Anolis sagrei: one gene and its partner. The protein of the gene in region 1 interacts with the protein of each later gene in a biochemical or structural test. Links are inferred from orthologs where the notes say so. Each region holds a gene or a part of one and is shown in the gene's direction. Other genes may lie near its edges. The genes, in order: APBA1 and CNTNAP4.

Evidence for each region.
Region 2: the proteins of APBA1 (region 1) and CNTNAP4 form a complex in vitro, tested with the Homo sapiens proteins (2 studies listed by BioGRID and IntAct, with this or other methods). The link is inferred for Anolis sagrei from reciprocal best matches to the Homo sapiens genes APBA1 and CNTNAP4.

What each region holds. Positions count from the first base shown.
Region 1 is NC_090022.1:222,037,604-222,048,676, reverse strand, and holds the start of APBA1 (amyloid-beta A4 precursor protein-binding family A member 1), read left to right. Parts: upstream 1-7,068; 5' UTR 7,069-7,248; intron 7,249-11,073. UniProt on the Homo sapiens protein: Putative function in synaptic vesicle exocytosis by binding to Munc18-1, an essential component of the synaptic vesicle exocytotic machinery. May modulate processing of the amyloid-beta precursor protein (APP) and hence formation of APP-beta.
Region 2 is NC_090022.1:232,923,812-232,934,834, reverse strand, and holds the start of CNTNAP4 (contactin-associated protein-like 4), read left to right. Parts: upstream 1-6,100; 5' UTR 6,101-6,534; coding exon 6,535-6,619; intron 6,620-11,023. UniProt on the Homo sapiens protein: Presynaptic protein involved in both dopaminergic synaptic transmission and GABAergic system, thereby participating in the structural maturation of inhibitory interneuron synapses.

The sequences.
Region 1 (11,073 bases):
TTAAGTACTGATGGAGTTTCTCAGGATAAACCTGGCATGATGTGAGTTGTGGTTCACCCACAACCTTATGCATTTTGTAAAATTAAAAAATTGACTTTTTCAAATAACCCAGGCAACGCTAGGTACCCAATTTAGTTTAAAATATAAATGAAAGATTCTCATAATAACACTTTATTATAATTTATGTGCGTGTCTATATCTCTTATAAAGGGTTGGTTTAACTCCCAGTTTGCTAAGTAAAACTGAATCACTTTGTTTCAAAATGTTGCAGGTCTAAAAAGTGTGTCCTAACATGAAATGTTTGGAAGGCTCTGCAATAAAACCTTTTCTCAACCATTTTCCTGTACAGTATGCATTTCGCAAACCACTCTAAAAACTAGAGATTAAAGTTTAATGATATTTGAAAGCTAGAATTCCAGAGTTTCAAATGCTAGAAGCATTGGTTTCTTTCTCTAGCAATTGTTGAGCTTTCTGACCTTAAAAAGCCATGTATATTCTCTCGCTCCCTTGTAATATATTGTGGCTTTCTTCTAGGATGTGAACACATTCATGGATACAACCCACGTGACAGTTATAGACCTTAAGCAAGAGCCATTCATTTCTCAAGAGGCTTGCTCCACCTGGCTGCTATGATTAAAACAGCTTAATGTTATCTGTGAAAGGTCTTTTAAATGTTACATTATTAAGCTTTTTAATAAACTGGGAGTCTGGGTTAATTGTTGAATTTGCACGTAGCTGTAAAGAGCCATATTTATACGTTTCAATATTTGCAAATTATCACTTTAACACTATCCTAAATTAGAAAGAGACAAGTTCTTGTGTTTATTTGGGGAACTTTGTATTAATGGGGTAAAAATGAAAGTATTGTTGTGATGGAAATGTACGTCCCATCTCCTTTTGTTAGGCTGCTCACCCACAGTTTGAGAATAAGAACAACAACAACAACAACAACAACAACAATTTATTATATTGGGAAGTGTCCAATGTGTGATCCAATACAATAGCCAGCATAGTGATTTTGTTTGCTGTGGACTCATCTTGTTGTGCTTCAACTAATAACAACTTTATTTTTATACCCCGTTACCATCTCCCCAAAGGGACTCAGGGCGGCTTACATGGGGCCAAGCCCAATCAACAGAGTTAAAACGTAGCACATTAGAATGCATTCCATCAATTTTAAACAGCATAAAACAACATTATAACAAATATAAAACAAACATCAAAACCAACAAGAAGTCTCGATATGGGTGGGTGGATAGATACACAATTCAGAGGACAGGGCCAATGTGTAAATTGCATAAGTCATACAGCAGTGTTAAGGTAAAGATAAAAGTTGTCCCCTGACCTTAAGTCCAGTCATGTCTGACTCTGGGGTGTGGTGCTCATCTCCATTTCTAACCAAAGAGCCAGGGTTGTCCGTAGACACCTCCAAGGTCATGTGGCCGGCATGACTGCATGGAGTGCCGTTACCTTCCCGCCAGAGCGGTACCTATTGATCTACTCACATTTGCATGTTTTCGAACTGCTAGGTTGGCAGAAGCTAGGGCTGACAGCGGAAGCTCACGCCGCTCCCCGGAATCGAACCTGCGACCTTTCGACCAACATGCTCAGCAGCTCAGTGCTTTAATCCACTGTGCCACCGGGGGCTCCTAGTGTTAAGGATAAGAGCAATATAAGAAGAATCATTCTGATTTTGGATACAACAATAATAAAGTGCATGGTCAAAATTGTTGGGTCGTAGCTGGGGCCAATTGTCAAGGGAATTGTTTAGTCAACCGCACATCCATGTCTTTAGATCTTTGTGAGGTGGATAGGGAGGGTGCTAGTCTGATCTCCCCTGGGAAGGGAATTCCAGAGCCAGGGGGCGTCAACCAAGAAGGCCCTCTCTCTTGTCCCCACCAACCATGCCTGTGATGGAGATGGAAGCGAGAGAAGGGCCTTGCTAGGTCTCAGAGACCGTGTGGGTTCGTAAGGGAAGATGTGGTCTTGAAGATGGGCAAGTCCCGAACCGTTTAGAGCAGTGGTTCTCAACCTGTGGATCCCCAGATGTTTTGGCCTTCAACTCCCAGAAATCCTAACAGCTGGTAAACTGGCTGGGATTTCTGGGAGTTGTAGGCCAAAACATCTGGGGACCCACAGGTTGAGAACCACTGGTTTAGAGCTTTATAGGTGATGATCTGCACCTTGAACTGGGACCGAAAACTTATTGGCAGTCAGTGGAGCTGTTTGAACAGGCGGTTTGACTGCTCCTGTAATAGTCACTTTTCTGTTAGTTTTACGAGGGTGGAGCTTAAGAAAACCCTTCCTGGTTTATATCAATAAGTTTGCCTGCCCTTTTGCCCAGGGAAAAAGAGCTATCTTTAGCTTAGGGTTATTACCACCAGGAAATCTTGGAAGCAAGACGTGTCTGTAGTTGGTCCCAGTGAAATTCAGGCTTTGACAAGCCATTTCAAGCCAATAACTAATCTGGGAACTCATCCGGCTATGTTAACCTACCTCTGGTCAGTGACAGTTTATGGAGTTTCCAGCACCTTCAGCGAGGTCAGGTCTCAATAGGAGGGACCTGTGCTCTCTACCTCTAGCATTATCACCTTGATCACCAGAAGCCCCTCTACCAGAGAAAGTGATCAAGGAAAACTTTCATCTGTCCTTCATCTCCAGTCATCCATGACCAGCAACCTCAAGAACAAGTTACCTTCAAACTTTAAGTATGGACTTTGTTGTGGGGAAATCAAGATAGTGCCTACGTAGAGATAGGCCCACAAGACCAATTAATAAATTATTATTTTTTTGAAAGCAGTAACATGGACATTGATTCTGTGGGGTTCCTTGTTCAAACAGGAAGGCAATCCAGCATCCCCCAAGTTGATATAAAGCCAGGACGTGCTAATGCTAAAGCCATTTAAAGCACCTTGGGTGTGACAGCACAATAGCCTTAAGCTCTGATTTGGAAACAAAATGGTTGCACAAGTTATGTTAATTTCAGTGCAACTTAAATTCAAAGATGCTTTTCTTCTGGAGTGGATTTTTCTCCTCTAAAAAAGATTAAAATTGACAGTGAACAGCATTGTAGCAAAATATGCATGTTTACAGATTTAATTCCACTTTGTGTGCTTATAATAAGTGTATTTTAATAATGATTTAATCTGCTAGGTTTGAACTTTATTTAGCTCTCACAACAATATAACTTTTCCTCAAAATATTAATGTATACACTATGGAAAATTGTTTTTAAGGGAGAATATTGTACGCTTAATTTTATATTGAAATTTGTTGTTCATTCGTTCAGTTGTTTCCGACTGTTCGTGACCTCATGGACCAGCCCATGCCAGAGCTCCCTGTTTGCTGTCACCACCCCCAGTTCCTTCAAGGTCAATCTAGTCACTTCAAGGATCCCATCCATCCATCTTGCCCTTGGTCAGCCCCTCTTCCTTTTTCCTTCCTTTTCCCCAGCATCATTGTCTTCTCTAAGCTTTCCTTTCTCCTCATGATGTGGTCAAAGTACTTCATCTTTGCCTCTATTATCCTTCCCTCCAATGAGCAGTCAGGCTTTATTTCCTGAAGTATGGACTGGTTGAATCTTCTTGCGGTCCAAGGCACTCTCAGAACTTTCCTCCAACACCACAGTTCAAAAACATCTATCTTCCTTCACTCAGCCTTCTCTATGTTCCAGCTCTCACATCTGTAGGTGACTGTGGGAAATAACATATATTGAGATATTGTATATTGAGATATTGTATAGTTTTTAGACTACAGTCTTATGCACACTTTATAAGGAGTAACCTCACTGAACACTGTAGGACTTCTACACAAGCATGCATAGAGTTGAAGTGTTAGTCTTTAACTTCTCTTAAATATTTAACCCAGGCAGTCCCTAAGTTACAAACATCTGACTAATAAATCACCAGTAGTTAAGAATGAGGATGAGACAACAGGAAGTGAGAGAAATCTGCCTCTAGGAAGAAAAGTCCACCATGGGGAAAAGGGGTCTCCACATCCGGGCATCCCCTGGGCAGTGTCCTTCCAGACAGCCAATTCTCTCACACCAGAAGTGACTTGCAGCTTCTCAAATCGCTCCTTACACAGGAAAAAAATGTTTCCACAACAAGCCAAAGTTTTTTAAATCTAATTATCAGACAGAAAATGAGGTGAAATTTGCTGAACAGGGGCACAGACAGCAAAACGATCACCACAATTTGCTCTAGATATATCATCGGTTGGCTTCAGTGTGCTCTCTGGTTGTAGGGTAAACCACAACTCCCACTATGGCGAGTCAGTCCCCTCAAACCCCTCCAGTAGGTTGAGTTAGTCATGTGCATTCTATGTGCCAAGTTTGATCCAGGTCCATCACTGGTGGGGGTCATAGTTTATCTGGTTGTGGATGAACTACAACTCCCAGAAAGAGAGGTCAATTTCCCTCCAAACCTCTCCAGTAAACAAATTTCAGCATGTTGGGTATGTGTGCCAAGTTTGGTCCAGATCCATCGGTGTTTGGGTTCATAGTGCTCTCTGGGTGTAGGTAAGCTACAACTCACCCAAATCAAGGTGAACTTCCCCCAAAGATGTGTGCCAAGTTTGGTCTGATTCCATCTTTAGTGGAATTTAGAGTGCTCATTGATTGCAGGTGAACTATATATCCCAGTACCTACAACTCCTATAAATCATGGTGAATTCTCCCCTCTAGTATGTTCAGCTGCTGATCAATTCCTGTTTGCTGTGTGCCATATAAAATAATAGGAAAGGGTTAAGGGAGAGGCCATGGGTGGGGTCATGCAAATTCCACACCAATGGAGAGAGTAAGAAACAGTGGGATGTCTGTGGAGGAGGAAACACATAACATCTAGGATGAAATTGCCCCCATATGAAAGCATTCACTTGGGTGGTGGGCAGTATGATGTTTGTGGAGGACATTGGCAGGCCTCTTGCACATGTTTAGGCACTCAGTATAACCTGCAGTATTATTGGAGGGAGGGCCATCGGTGTGTCCTGGGTAGTTGGGAGTTAGAGCTGTTTGTGAAGGCAGAAGTTTAGTCTTTATAAGTAGACACTCCAGCCACATACACACATACATATTTTCACTTTTATTATATGTGTGTGTGTACACACACACACACACACATAGAGTTGAAGTCCAAAACACCTAGAGAGTCCAAGTTTGCCCAGGCCTGTATCTCTACAGCAGTGTTTCTCAACCTTCCTAATGCCGCAACCCCTTAATACAGTTCGTCATGTTGTGGTGACCCCCAACCATAACATTATTTTCATTGCTACTTCGTAACTGTAATTTTACTACTGTTATGAATAGTAATGTAAATAACAGATATGCAGGATATATTTTCATTCACTGGACCAAATTTGGCACAAATACCCAAAATTTGAATACTGGTGGGGTTGGGGAGGTGATTGATTTTGTCTTTTGGGAGTTGTAGATGCTGGGATTTATAGTTCACCTACAATCAAAGAGCATTCTGAACTCCACCAACCATGGAATTGAACCAAGCTTGGCACACAACTCCCATGACAAACAGAAAATACTGGAAGGGTTTGGTGGGCATTGACCTTGAGTTTTGGAGTTTTAGTTCACCTATATCCAGAGAACACTCTGGACTCAAACAACGATGGATCTGGATCAAACTTGGCACGGATACTTAATATGCCTAAATGTGAAAACTGGTGGAATTGGGGAAAATAGACCTTGACATTTGAGAGTTGTAGTTGCTGGGATTTATAGTTCACCTACAGAGCATTCTGAATCCCACCAATGATAGAACTGGGCCAAATTTGCCACACAGGACCCCCATGAACAACATAAAATACTGTGTTATCTGATGGTCTTTGGTGACCTCTTTGACAACCCCTCAAGACACCTCCCCCTGGGGTCCCGACCCCCAAGTTGAGAAATGCTCCTCTTGATTTAGGCGATCCCTTATTGTCCAAGTAGGATAGTCCTCCAGGATCAGTGTACTGGCGGTGGGTCTGTAGGTGACTGTGGAGCCCTATTCTTGACTTGCATGTTCTCCCGCAGTGAGGGCATTGCCTTCCAGGTGGAAGGCGGTCTTGGTCAGGGTTGGCTTGACGCACCTTCCTCTTGGCACGTTTTTCTCTTTCCGTGCTTCTTCAAATTCTACAGCACTGCTGCTCACAGTAGACCTCCAACTGGAGCACTCAAGGACCAGGGCTTCCAAGTTCTCTGTGTCTATGCCAGAATTCTTAAGGTTGGCTTTGAGCCCATCTTTAAATCTCTTTTCCTGCCTACTAACATTCCATTTTCCATTCTTGAGTTCGGAGTAGAGCAACTGCTTTGGGAGACGGTGGTCAGGCATCCGGACAACGTGGCCGGACAAATGGAGTTAATGGTGGTCTTTGCTTCTTCCAGCACGCTGACATTTGTCCACTTGTCTTCCCAAGAGATGTGCAGGATTTTCCGGAGGCAGCGCTGATGGAATTGTTCCAGGAGCTGCATGTGACGTCTGTAGACAGTCCACCTCTCGCAGGTGTATAACAGGGTTGGGAGGACAATAGCTTTATAAACAAGCACCTTGGTCTCCCTACGGATGTCCCTACGCTGCTCTACAGCATAGATACAACCCTAGAGGTCTCTCATTGATAGGGCCTATTCTGAAGTCTTTGAGAAAGGGCTAAAAAGGACCTTATGAAACTACAAATCCCAGGAAGCCACAGCACTGGGGCAAACTTCGGCCCTGCAGGTGTTTTGGACTTCGACTCCCACCATTCCTAACAGCCGGTAGGCTGTTAGGAATGGTGGGAGTCGAAGTCCAAAACACCTGCAGGGCCGAAGTTTGGCCATGCCTGGTGTAGCTGGTCAGCGGGCCTAGTCCCTCCTCCTCCTCTTCCTCCTGTTTCCTCCCGCAGCCACATTGTGCTGGCCTTGCTTTGCGTTTGCAGAGATGTCCTTCCTTGCAGCTGCAAGCCTTGCAGCTCCTCCTCCTCATTGCCAGGCCCGGGAGTCACGCGGGCGCCGGAGGGGCGGGCCCAGGGAGGGGCCGGAGGGGCGGGGCTTGCTGGCTTTCCAGCGGGTGGGCTGCGGAGGAGGAGGAGGAGGAGGAGGAGGAGGAAGAAGAAGAGGAGGAGGAAGGAGGAGGGTGAAGATGGTGGAGAGGCGGCCGCAGCGCGCGCGAGAGGGAAAGAGGGCGCGCGCCTGCCTGGGCTCCCTTTTCTAACCTCCGCCTCCATCCAGATCCAGATTCCCCCCTCGATGCGCAGGTTCCCTGGAGGAAGGAAAAAGAAGGTAACCCTCCTCTCTTTTTTTTTCCTTTTGATTTGGGGGCGAGGGGAGAGAAATAATCAATGGGTAGCTCATCAATGGATAAGCTAACAACGGGGATCTTCTAAGAGATGGAAAGGAAGCTGAAGAGGGGCCTTGGGAGGAGGGGAAGGACTTGATGCATGCTTGCCTTGCTTGCCTCTGTATGTATTCAGTGCATGGAACTGGAGGGGAAAGGGATCATCAATGGTGCTGTTGGAGGGGGGAAAAATGGGGATCTCCCTGCCAAGCAAGAGGGCCTGGATGCATGCGGGGGTGTGCTTGCATGCCTCCATAGCAGTGCATTGGAAACCTAGAAGGAGAGAGATTGAGATTGGAGCCTGCTTCTCCTCTGCTCCAGATTTCCCTCCTTACTACAAATAAGCCTTACACCTAAATGGTTGGGAATTGGAGCCCGTTTCTCTTCTACTCCAGAGAGATCTCGCTGTCCTCCAAAATGAATATTTCTTTACACCTGTGTGGTTGGTAATATGGATTGGAGCCCTGTTTCTCCTCAGCTTCCTTCCATATAAATAAAATTGACACCTACATGCTTCATAATAGAGGACAAAATTGGAATCTGTTCCAGGGGAGTGCTCTCTTTCATGAATCAATGCTACTCCTAGATGGTTGGTAGTAGAGAACAGAATCAGAGCCTATGCTTCAAAGGATCTCTCCCTCCATATGAATTAATGTGACTCCTATATGGTTGGTGGTGGAGGGAGACCATAATCGGAGCCTAATTCTCCTCTGCTCCAAAGGATCTCCTCCTCCATGTGAATCAATGTTATATCTATATGGCTGGTAGTTGAGAATAGAAACAGAGCCAAATTCAACGCTGCTCCAAAGGATCTCTCCCTCCATATGAATTAATGTTACACATATATGCGCCAAAGGATCTCCTCCATGTGCTCCTCCTAGATGGTTGGTAGTAGAGAACAAAATCAGAGCCTCTGCTCCAAAGGATCTCTCTCTCTCTCCATATGAATCAGTATTACACCTATATGGTTGGTAGTAGAGGACAGAATCAGAGCCTAATTCTCTGCTCCAAAGGATCTCCTCCTCCATGTGAACCAGTGTTACTCTTGTATGGTTGGTAGTTGAGAATAGAACCAGAGCCTATTTCTCCTCTGCTCCAATTGATCTCTCCCTCCTTATAAATCAGTGTTACACCTATATGGCTGGTAGTAGGTAACTAAATCAGAGCCCATTGCTCCATAGGATCTCTCCATATGAATCAGTGTTACACCTGTATGGCTGGTAGTAGAAAACTAAATCAACTAAATCAGAGAATATTTCTCATTTGCGCCAAAGGATCTCTCCCTCCATATGGATCAGTGTTACTCCTGTATGGTTGGTAGTGGAAAACAAAATCAGAGCCTATTTCTCCTCCTCTCCAAAAGATCTCTCTCTCGCTATGAATCAATGTTACACCTATAGGGTTGGTAGTAGAGAACAGAATGAGAGCCTAATTCTCCTCTTCTCCAAAGGATCTCCCTCTCCATATGAATCAATGTTACTCCTGTATGATTAGTAGAGAACAAAATCAGAGCCTATTTCTCCTCTTCTCCATAGGATCTCTCCCTCCATATGAATCAGTGTTACACCTATAGGGTTTGGAGCCCCTGGTGGCGCAATGAGTTAAACCCCTGTGCTGGCAGGACTGAAGACCCACAGGTCGCAGGTTTGAATCCGGGGAGAGGCGGATGAGCTCCCTCTATCAACTCCAACTCCTCATGCGGGGACATGAGAGAAGCCTCCCAGAAGGATGATAAAAACATAAAATCAACTAGGCGTCCTCTGGGCAACGTCCTTGCAGATGGCCAATTCTTTCACACCAGAAGCGACTTGCAGTTTCTCAAGTCGCTCTTGACACGACAAAAAAAAACAACCCTATAGGGAACTAAATCAGATCCCATTTCTCCTCTGCTCCAAAGGAACTCTCCCTCCATATGAATCAGTGCTACTCCTATATGGTGGGTAGTAGAGAACAAAATTAGATAAAATAATAATAAAACTTTATATATATTCCACTCTATCTCTCCAAAGGGACTCAGGGCAAATTCCAAATATAAAAGGCAAACATTCAATGCCTGAATACAACAATACATCCATACTAACAAAATTTATACAACCCAACATATAAATACGAATTATAACTTAACAAACTAAATTAAATAAAAAGCACAGCCTATTATAATAGACATAAACAGAACATCAAACATCAAATGGAAACAATAATTTCCCATTTCTTTGGGGCAAATCGATTAGAGCCTTTTTCTCCTCTGCTTCAAAGGATCTCTCCCTCTATTTGAAATCAGTGTTACACCTGTAGGATTGGTAGTCGAGAACTAAATTAGAGCCCATTTCTCCTCTGCTCCAAAGGGACTCTCCTTCCATAGGAATCAGTGCTACTCCTATATGGTTGGTAGTAGAGAACTAAATCAGAGTCTATTTCCCCTCTGCTCCAAAAGATTTCTCCCTCCATATGGATCAATGTTACACCTATATTTATTTATTTACAGTATTTATATACCGCTTTTCTCACCCCTGGAGGGACTATATGGTTGGTAGTAGAGAGCAAAATGAGAGCCTATATCTCCTCTGCTCCAGAGGATCTCTCTTATTGAATGTTTGCCATTTTTGTCTTTGGAAGCTGCCTTGAGTCCCTTTGTGGAGAGAGAGCGGGTTAGAAATAAAGTATTATTATTATCATAATCCATAATAATAATAAATTGCACACCTGTATGACTGGTAATAGACCTCCCCCACTCCCCAGATACATTTTGCACCTACATGGTTGCGAACAGAGAACAGAATTGGGATTATACATAATAATAATAAATTGCAACCCTATATGACTGGTACTGGACCTCTCTCCCTTCAGATAATTTTGCACCTACAAGGTTACAAACAGAGAACAGAATTGATATTATCGATAATAACAATGCATTACAAGACTATATGACTGGTAATAGAGCTCTCCCCCTCCATATACAGATACATTTTGCACCTACATAGTTCCAAACACAGAACAGAACTGGAGCTGATTTTTCCTTTACTCCAGTCCAGAGGATTTCTCCTCTCCATATAAACAGACCTTTACGAGTGGAGTCTGTCTTCGAGGACGTCTCTTCTACAGATATACATCAATTTTACACCTATATAGGTGTTAATAAGAGACATTGGAACCTATTCCTCCCTTGCTCCAGAGGGCAGTCCTCCTTTGATTGTAAAGGAGAAAGGGAGAAATAAGCGACAGCCTCAAGTTGGAGCTGATTTCTCCTTCAGTCCAGAGGATTTCTCCACTCTGTATAAATAAACTACAAACCTCTATGAGTGGAGTCTGTCTTTGAGAACATCTATTCTACAGCCACACATAGATTTTACATCTAATAAGAGACCTTGGAGCCTGTTTCTCCCCTGCTCCAGAGGGCAATCCTCCTTGGATTATAAAGGAGAGAAACTAGTGATCGCCCCACTCTTCAAGACTTAAGGGCTGGGGTGACACTTGTGACATCTGGGGACAGGACGGTTGTGGAGGGAGAACAGAAGGGAGAAGGTAGGTGGATGGATGGATGCGCCTCGCTCTCTCTCTCCATTGAGATGGCAGGAGGCGAGGCTTGGTGCATGCAGGCAGTGAGTGACGTGTGTGTTTACCGGGGAGGATTATGATTGCTATGAAACCGATCCAGTGGGTTGTGGGAGCCTGGGAGGGGGGCTGTCTGTCTTGCTTTCTAGAGTGAGGAGTGGCAAAGGGCAACAGGGCACCCACATAGTAAATGTGGCCCTGTGCGGAAGGGAGGGGGG
Region 2 (11,023 bases), about 11 Mb from region 1:
CCCCTCTTCTTAGGAGTATTTAATAGTTTCAATGCCAGTGATGCCTGAGTGAATGAGTATGAAGAAAACACTTAACAGGAAATAAGATATTTGCAGCTGGTATTGGCTGGATACAATGCCACATTTTATTTCATAGGATGAACTTGGATGTGTACTGAGAATGGCTGCTGTTCTATGATAATGATGATACTGTTACAGCATTCAGTATCAAAAGCAAATGTAACATTCATCTTGGGAATAACGATTGGGGGGGGGGGTAGGACAATCCCACTCCTTCACATCACTGCACTGCTGGCATGCTGGCACAGAAATGGAACTGATCCATCACACTAAGGTAGGTGATAGGAGCTATTGATTGTTTCCTGTTAATACCTAGGGATGGGAAAATTATAAAGCAGGGGAGGAGGGGGCAGACCTGCAGTGGGATGTACATGGTGTTGTTCCAGCTGCAATCGTTCTTCATGAGATAGTCTCAAGTCTGGTTTATGATATTGCAAACAAAGAACAGGGTGCTAGCCATTGCCACTTGAAAGTAGATTTCATGCTGCTACTTCTGAGTGTGAATTGGTCTGTTGCTTGTGGTGGTCTGTCTTTTTTTCAGCATCTATTCCCTAAATTACAGTTTAGTGATTAATTCCAAGAATTCAAATACAGGGCGGGCCAAAGGTCATGAAAGAATTTCAATATTTAATAACACCTTTATTTTTTGTTTTTAATTTACAATGCCATAGCATCGTATACCATATATATATAGGAAAAAATACATTATGTGTGAAAAAGCAAATCTCATAAATGCTATCTAATATACAGCATCATATTCATTATATGTAGGACCTTTTTATGATTAATTTAGGCCCATCCTGTAGGAGATCTGAGAATGACTAGTCTTGAATGCCATTGGGATAATTTAAACTATGCCTTGTTCTTCTACAGAACAGTCTTGAAATAAAAGATGGAATGAGATGCTTTGGAGTAAAAGAAATGAGTTTGGTTCTTTTCTGTAGTGGGGTCATGGAGAAAAGGCCACAATGATAACATTAAATGGAATGATGATTAATGTTAGTGAACTACAAAAAGGACAGAAAGAAGGACTTTTAATAAGGGAAAGGAAGAAACGAGTTTAAAGTTTGGCAAGACTGCAGAGGTGACAGTTAAGTCCTTCGAGAGTACATATTTGAAGTAAGAAATAAAGGGTCTTTCAAATAGAAAGCTAAATAGCTTCTCAAACAATAAGAAAGAGAGCATGTCATAATTGTGTGTGTATGTTGGAAGAATATAGTGAGAAGAAGCTAGGTAGAATGTAGTCATTAAAGCGAGTCAATTATTATTTCCCCCTTATCAGCCTCCATAATATGAATCATAGAGTATTTGAAGGAACATCATAATTATAAAAGTTAGAATGTTATAGATACCTCGGTTATAATAGTGTTACTGAGATCCAACCGATATGATGGTAATCTTTAGTGTTATACAAATATGTGAATTTTTGTACACTCATACAAGAAAGGTGGATGATCTCGTCAATCAGTTATTAATCTCAAGGTAGATGTGATTATTATTGCATATTTAAATTGATTATTCTCTATCATTTCACAAGACAAAGATTTGTTTACATTACAACTAACAACAGTTCTTATAATTTTGGAACAAAATAATGCAGTCAAAGACTAAATCTTTAATTTCTCAGGAAAACAGCATATGAGTTCTTGTCATGAATTATACGTTTCACTTATTTTTGTCTGTGTTCTGAGCTAACTAATGTATTCAGTATTCACAAGAATAACTAGTTTGAGAAAAAGTGGGATTCCACAGTAGAGATTAAAATCTTCGCTTAGTTGATTCATTGCATGCAAGAATGAGAACTACAGTTTAGTCTTGGGCAGAATGACTGGGGATTTTGGCATTTTTACCTAAGGATTTTCTCATTTGGAGATTCTGAAAAAAGACATGTAACAGGGGGTTTTTTGGGGGGGGGGGGTTGTTCTAAGGGTATCAACCAGATAGATAGATAAGCCTCTGAAACTTTCACAAAAAGTCCTTAAAATCACATTTCACATGATTTCTCAATGTGACAAAAGACCTTTTCTTGATGGAGGTGAGATATTTGTGAATACTCTTTAAACTCATAGCCAGCTGTCATTTCTTTCAATGTCACAACTCCTGTATATTCAAATATGATTACATTTAGGTTCTTGTGGGTTTTTTCGGGCTATAGAGCCATGTTCTAGAGGCATTTCTCCTGACGTTTTGCCTGCATCTATGGCAAGCATCCTCAGAGGTTGAGAAGGTCTTCATTAGCATTTGAAGGCCTGCCTGAGTCAAATGCTAATGAAGACCTTCTCAACCTCTGAGGATGCTTGCCATAGATGCAGGCGAAACGTCAGGAGAAATGCCTCTAGAACATGGCTCTATAGCCCGAAAAAACCCACAAGAACCTAGTGATTCCAGCCATGAAAGCCTTCGACAATACAATGATTACATTTATTCTTGTGTCAATGTAAGTAGACTTAAATTTTAACATTCATAATCCTTAACTATAAAATACCTTACTCTTTTTTTTTAAAAAAAAGAAATCATGTAGAGGAATATATATTTTCTTTAGTACAAAAATGCAAATATATGTCACGATGTGGTGGTAATTTATGGCATTATGCAGATGGGCATTGCCACTAGAAAAATTATCCAGTTTAATCTTATTTCTCTTGGTGAGATTTAATGCTTCATACCCTTGAAATAAAAATAGAGTTAGTTTAAAATCTAGCCGGTCCAGGGAGATCCTGCCTTTGGAAAAGGGATCTGTTTGGTTTTTTATCTTGGAAATCTAAGTCTTCTGATCCATTTCAGAGGTGCAAAAGGTGGAAAACCCAATCACACCATAAATTTGGAGAAACTACGAGGGTTGAATGAAAAGTAATTCCTCCACCTTCATTACTTGGGTTTGGGTGGGAATATTTTAATAATTCAAATGCAGAAATAATCCTTAGAATGTGCTCTTTAACTACCACTATTCACTTTTCTACATAATCACTAGACAATGGGATACATTTCTGCCAATGATGAACAAGTTTTCTAAGGCTGTCACGGAAGAAGTTGACACTGTTTCTGCAACCAGCATCTCACAGTTCTCACAATGTCTTCATCAGAAGCATAAGGATGACCCCGCAGATCTTCTTTCATTATCGGGATGGAAGTCAGACATTGTTAAATCTGGACTATATGGAGGATGCCATATGGTGGTGAAATCCAGTCTCTGAAATTTCAAGTCTGTGCGCTTTCATTTCAGGCATCAGCATCCTGGGTGTTGCAATCCAGAGCAGGAAACGAGGCCCTAAGATAACTATCCACCACACTTGACTGTGAAAAACAATCCTTTTTTATTGAAGAAAAATGGTTACAGAATAAAGGAAAAATACAAGTCAAAAGCCACAGCAAAATCAGCAAACATGAATTTAAATGGACAAAAAAACCCCAAAGCCACACTGTAAAATACTGGAACCTGTTAGCAATCCACTAACCATACTTGATATCCTAGAAATCTTTCAAGACAATGGCTAGGAAAACCGGGAGAACTCCCAAGGTCTTCATCAATCTGAAACGATGCCTGAACTGAGAAAGTCAGCCCGGCGGAAGGCACTTAAAGCCGAAGAATTGGTTCGGTGAACCGCCTCTCTGCTTTGAAGCCGTTGTTTGTATTTCTTTTAATTGGGAAGACCTTCGCAAGCTGAGTGATTTACTTCTGTCTTGCCAGATCTGGCCCCTTCTGTTCTCATTAAAGTTACCAGGTGCAGAAGGGAGTGAAAGGTCATGGCTTCCCTCTGAAACATTCTCATGAACGCTGGTACTTTCATTTTCCAAATCTACAGAAGTTTCTTCCTCACTAATTTCAGGAGCATTGGCATCAAGAGGTACATTTTCATTAGCATCAGTAAATATATTTTCATTAGCATCAGGAGGAACAAACAGAGAATCAGGTTCAAGTTCAAACTCAGGCTGAACCCCAACACTGGGTACCCATCGTGCACAGATCTTCCGCTAGCCAAGCAAAGCAATAATGTGACCCACATGTTCTTGTGAAATGCCGATTATGCTTGAAATTTCTCTCTGAGTGATACGACAATCATTCTGTCAACATTTTGCTTGTGAAACTTGATGGTTGCTGTCACAGGAAGTCCAACTCTTTGTTTGCCACACAAGTCAGATGTTCCCACCTCAACATCTTTAAACTTTCTCACCCAGTGACACACAGTACTCACATCAATGCAATCACCATAAAGAGCTTGCATTCTCTGATTAATCTCCTTTGGGGTGACACCTTCTGCTGTCAAGAATTCAATGACTGCATGTTGTTTAAGTCGCATTGACCGACCGTCTGCGCAGGGCTCCATACTTCTCATTTTAACAACACAACGATTCAATGATAAAGCTTCCTGCCAAATGGAACTGAAGAGGAGAGTCTACTGAATAAGCCAATACCAGTTGCATACCAGTACTGCCATCTGTTGAGGAGTTATGAAGGTGGAGGCATTACTTTTCATTCAAACCTTGTATGATTGAATTTCCACATGCAATAGGAAGAAACCCATGATGAAATGAGAAAATGAAAAATTATTAGGCACAATCTTGATTTGTAGCACCTGCTAGAATCTTTCATCCATCTGTTTTGGTTTGTTGTTTTTGATGCACCCATTCACCCTCCCCCCACCCCGCATCAGCTACCACCCATTTAATTAGAAATTATGTTACTCAGAACTGAAATATAGCAATTTGTCTTGAACAAGTGTGTGTTTCACTTCTCAAAAGGTATGTTAATGTTATGGAGAACACAGTTCATTGACCCAACTGAGATCAGTGTTTCAACAGCATAAATAGGATCAGTATTTATTTATGTCTCTAGTGGAGAATATGCAGTGGTATCTCTCTCTGGATATTCTTCTTTAGTCATGGTTGAATGTAATTGTTTTTGGAAATAAATGTTATGTCTCAAGGTTGTGAGACCTTGAGCATAAAGAAGGCTGAGCAAAGGACACTTTTGAACTGTGGCATTGGAGGAAAATTCTGAGAGTGTCTAGGACTGCAAGATCAAACCAGTCCATACTCCGGGAAATAAAGCTGACTGCTCACTGGAGGAAAAGATATTAGAGGCAAAGATTAAGTACTTTGGCCACATAATGAGAAGACAGGAAAACTTGTAGAAGACAATGATGCTGGGGAAAATGGAAAGAAAAAGGAAGAGGGGCTGACCAAGGGCAAGATGGATGGGTGGTATTTATCCATCTTGCCCTTGGATGACTGCCTTGACTTTGAAGGAGCTGGGGGTTGCCACGGCTGACAGGGAGCTCTGGTGTGGGCTGGTCCACGAGGTCACAAAGAACCAGAAGCAACTGGACAAATAAACAACAACCACAAGTCTCAAGGACATGCAGTGTCTATGATGGAACATGTTTCTAGCAATCCTAAGAATTGGATAACTGAAACCAAGATGGCCTGGCTCGCAATGAAGAGGTATCTATCCTTTTATTTGTGTTTAGATACTATCACATTTACAAGTAGTAGTTAACAATCTGTAACTTCCTTACAGAACTTCAAACTCAAAATCCACTGAACAGTGCTGCATAATAACAGTTCAAAGTCATTCTAGCCTTCCCTTTTATGTTTGTGATTATACCCTACAATATATGTGAAAAACTGCAAGACAGAGCTTTTGAAGTACATCTGTGGGGTTACAATTCATAGCAATTTGGGCTCTCCACATCTTATTAAAAATTACTCTCAGGGGAATATCCTTCAGCATCAGTTGAAGATGAATGTGGGGTTCTATGGCTGAATACAAGAATTATTGTCTGCAAAATGGCAAAATACAGTTTGGTTGCATGATAGTAAATTCTGATGTAAAATTACAACATTTTCTTTTAGTCTTTGTGAATGATAGAGCAGGTGAAAGTTGTCATTAAATACAGACTAAATGGGGGAAAGGGTGGTCATGATGAAAGCCTTTTTCCTTCTGCTCTTGTTCTGCTTCTGTTTCCCTTCCCCTTGCATGACCATAAATAATTGGGAACAGTCATAATCCAGCGGGGAGGCTGTACAGGCACACATGTGCAGGCTGCTCTCTTTATTGTCTGGCTTTCATCATAGACTCTCATTTCCTACCTGTCACCACAAGGGGTGTCCAGGACACATTACGAATGTGAAGCTTCAGTAACCAAACTGTACAGGGTAGTCTTGCAGTTTAGCTCTGAGTGATTCTGTGAAATTAGAGGCGAGATCCTTGCAGCTGCTCTTCAGGGATTGCTGTTTTTAAGGGGGAAGGAACAGATCTTGTGCTCTCCCTGTGTGTGTGTATATATATACACACACAGGAGAAGATGCAGAGTGCATTTGGCTGAGCTATTGGCTACTCGGAAGCACTGAGAGGCAGGCAGAGAGCAAGAAACAGAAGGAGAGAAGAGGAAGCGGGAACAGGACTGAAGTGCAGAGCAGCTGTCCCCATTTCTGAATACTCGGGCACTTCAGGGTGCCTCAGTCAATGAGGACATGGATTCTTTTGCTCAAATCTTCTTCAAACTGGTCTTTCTGATTCCTTTTCATCACTGGAATATATTAGCAGCAGGAAACAAATGTAAGTATTACAAATGGATATTCAAACTTAAATCAGGCTGTTCTAGGAGGAAGTCAAAAAACTTAGTGTAATGAGATCCAGACTGGGAAGAATAACTCTTCCAATACATTTGTTCTGGTCAGTAAGTAAGTAGATAGGATGAAAGTGTTTCAGAGGATAAAATGTGTCATTTCACAAATTGTTCATTTCTTATTTTTTATTTTTTTTAAAAGCAAGTTGTAATCAGAACGCTGTCAGCTAAGCCAGGATCCAATATAATTGGAAAATCACATTCTGCTGAAGGTGTGCTGTATTTCTTTCCTTCTTTGCAAAAGCTTGCTGTATAGCAGCATAACAGTATTTTGCAAGGAGTTAAGCCTTTTAAGGGAGATTACTGCTTTGCTGATATTCTCCGCTGCATCACCTTGAGCTTTAAGACATGTAGAATTTTGCAGACAGGTTTCCCCCCTCCCCGCTCTCTTGTATTAAGCGGAACTCTGCTATTCAGTGCTGTAGAGTGTAAGAGCACAGCATTTGTAATAAGGAGTAAATGTTGAGAATGAGATTTTATGGCATGTTCATTGATTTCAGTGTGCGTAATTTTCATGTGTGCCGAGGCAGTGGATTTCAGTAGCAGCATTGTAAAGGTTGCTTATATGTAGCTTTATATAAATATATATTCTGTAATGATAGTGAAACCATTACTTTAGATAGAAAAACAACCCAGAATGGGATTCTAAAATGTAAGTGAGTGAGTGTGCTAGAAAACAAGTACTTTTCATAGATCTGCATAAACAGTTTCTAACTCTGACTCAGATGTGGTTTTTATTGGTATGTACACTGTGTGTGTATGTGCATGTGTTATGCACTAAGCATTGACTGTTCATTAGGATGTACATTATAGTTTTTCTCAGGTATTCTGTATGCCCCATATACTTAATTTTACATTAAACATATCAATTGGGTGTCCAATATATTCTTTTAACAGTTGCAGAGTTCTTTTGATAAAGCCTCTGTCTGTATCAGTGAACCTAGTGGTGATTATAGCTGGAGGTACTGAGTGCCGGGACTAGTAGGAATTCGTGAATAACGTTAAAACAGTGTTGGAAGGGACAGGTCCTTGAGAACATTTAAATGAGAAATGAAAGTGGCAGTGCTGAGCTTTCATCATATGCTTTGAGATTTAAAGGCTGAGGGTTGAGATAGACTATCATATAACTGACAGTTGCTCAGTGGGACCAAGCTGGTCTTTTTATTGTTGTTCTGTCACGATATGTCATTTGACATTCAAGTGCAGATTTTCCAGAACAGAATAAAAAAGGGGCCCACTGCTATTTATCCAAATTTGGTGTGTGTGTGTGTGTGTGTGTGTGTGTGCATGCTTAAATTCTTCAATGCTCTGCTGGATGGACTCTATGACTCCATTCATACTCATATAGGTCTCATAAATGATTCTCACATTAATAACTTTTGGTATCAAGCACAAAACTAAAACAGATGGTTGTGGAAAGGCATTTTAAACCTATAGCAAAATAGGATTCCAAGAAATATACTGAAGCAGCAAAGCACTAGAGGTCACTCTTACAATTTAGTAAGCAATACTCAGAGAAAAATATAGCAAAGATCTTCCCAGAACAAAATTAACCAGAATAACAAAACCTCAGATATCTGCTGTGATTATTGCCTTTACTTTTTGAGCCAACACACCTCTGAGTTATATGCACCTCTGTTAACTGCTTCAAATATGTCCTTTTACATGCAGTGGTTAATTGCTGTAAAGCAATGGTTGAAATAAGTTCAGAATAAAATGGATATTTAGCAATTTTAGAAATGTGAAATATGAGGGATGCAATGATGAAGAGGGTTGAGTAGCTTTATAAAGAAATGAATACAGAGATAAAACCGATATATAGTCATTATGTTTATTAAAAACTAAGCCAATGTCCCAAATTGTACCAAAGAGCTGGGTTCAGCATTACCTTACTGGTTGCACACATCATTCTTATCTGTTAATACTGTAGATGTGGAGTTAACCTATAGATTATATTATCATGCTTTAGTTAGTCATGATCTGCAAGCTGTCCTGTTGATCCTATTGGGATTAAAGACCAATAGATACAGTATAAATCAATTGATATGGTCTAGATCCAGTCTCTCTCTCTTCCCCCTTACAAATTGAAATATTCTTCGAGTCATTGATATTATTTCAATGACTTTCCCTTTCTTTGGTAATAGATATAACTCCCCTGGTCCGAAATAAGTATTTGACCTGTAATAGCATTTTGCTAATAATTAGCATATTATATGTTTATAATTTCAAGTCAACATTCTGGCTTCAGCTTCCATATTTATTCAGTTATCACTGGTATTAACATAAATACAGGCTTAATAGCTAAGATTGCAGTTCTTACATCAATAAACTACTATGTGAATGGTGAGAACCAAGTACTAGAGCCTTCAAGTTCTATCTCTTGCATTGATTTTCCTCAGAAATAGGATTTGCTAAGGACATCATTATTGTACTCAGAAATGAGACTCCATCCATTCGCATTGTAGATTAATATATAATTAATATGTGACCTAATGCTGGATCTTAAAATCTACCCAAGCTCATACCATGATTCCCAAGATTTTTAAAAAATAGCTCTTTCTTTTACTGATACAACTGTTTACTTTAAACTAAAAATGTACCAATAGAAATATTTTCTGTTAAGTATGCAAGGTATTGTTCAATCACAGTTCATAGGTGTGTATTGGTCCTCGTTTACATATACTTCCCTCCAAAGCATGTACTCTGAGCCAAAGCTAAACTTTCACTGAAAACCCCCATGCTTATTTAAGGTATCAGAAATAGGCAAGTCTTATCAACTGAAGGCCAAATATAAAATTTTGAAGGAGATATATTTTACTTTTTTGAGGTTTATCACTAGATGACTTACCAAGCATGGGAATAGCTGTCCTTGGGAACACTTATATTTTGAGAAGTACAGGCAACACAAAAGTCATCTCCTTCTAAAGAATTAAAACTTCCAAAGCAATTGAAGTAGAACGGACACATATAGCCATAAATTTGATACTGTGAAAGGTCATGGTGAAGCCTTAAAGTACAAATGAAAGCTCTAAAGTTCTGCCAATAGAGACAATATAGGGTTTATTTTATTACTTTTTTCAAACTTTGAAAGTTTTTTTTATTTGATTTTTTTTCATAGAAATTATTGAAACTGGTTGGCAGTCATTGTTTTGGACAAAACTGTGTGTTATGAAATGTTCATCTCTTTGGAATTCCATGGAAATAAGCATTAGACTAAACTATAATTAACCTCATATTTTAGGTTAGGTATCACTGAAAATATTGACATGCATTAAACCAATGTGAGAATAGAGTATGAGCCCTGTATCTGTGCTTTGAATGTGATTTTCCTGCTTCTTGGCGGGGGATTGGATTGGATGGGCCACAAGGTCTCTTCCAACTCTATGATTCTATGATCCTATGAAATATGTTCCAAAACCCCCATGGCTACCTGAAACTGTTGATAATAGTAAATGCTACATTTTGACTATGCTTCGGTTGGAAGCATACAATGAAATAGTACTGGAAGACCCAGAAAGATCCATAAATACTTGTGTGTGGAGGGCGGGGGGGGGGGGGGGAGGAGGAGGAAGATGTATTTTGGAAGATGGGTAAGTGGACATCCAGTCTGTGCATGAGGGGATAGTAATGCATATTGTTTGTAAGGCGTCCCTCCCACACAGACAATGGCTTGTTTTCACAAAAGAAAACATTATTGTTTTTTTTTAAATGTATATACCCAACAGCTTAAATGTTCAGACCAATCAGTCTAATTGTCATTAATTAGTTGACAACTCTTACTATTTCCAAAGGCTCAGACATGCTAGACTGAAAAAGTACCTTAAAGTTTAAGTGATTTCTTGTAGTGTTAACTTTTAGGAATCAAAGCTGATGTAGTGAGCACTAGTTTTTGAAAGCCTTTGCCACCACAAATCTGTTCTGACACAGCCTTATAGATGTCATCCCACAATGTTCAAAGGGACTTTCTCTCCAGTACAGAAGTGGGACTCGTATGACCATCCAGTTGTTGAGTTATGGCTTTCAGGTTTCTTCATCACTGATTATCCTATATAAAGTTGCTGGAAGTAGCTGTTCAACAACAACTAGAGGGAGGCACAGTTCCAACCCTTGCTCTAGTAAGTGTGTTTTATCTGCAGGAATGGAACTATGAATTCATCATTTCCAGTACTCAGATTAGTATTGCCTAATGTGACCCATCATAATGAGAACATTTCATGGATGTTGGTTCTTATCAGTAATGAAAACAAAATGTTAAAAGATGTTTTCATCCTCTCTCTTCTTTTAATCTGAAAATTTTCAGTGCAGTTTGCTGACTCATTTAAATTCTATAGCCT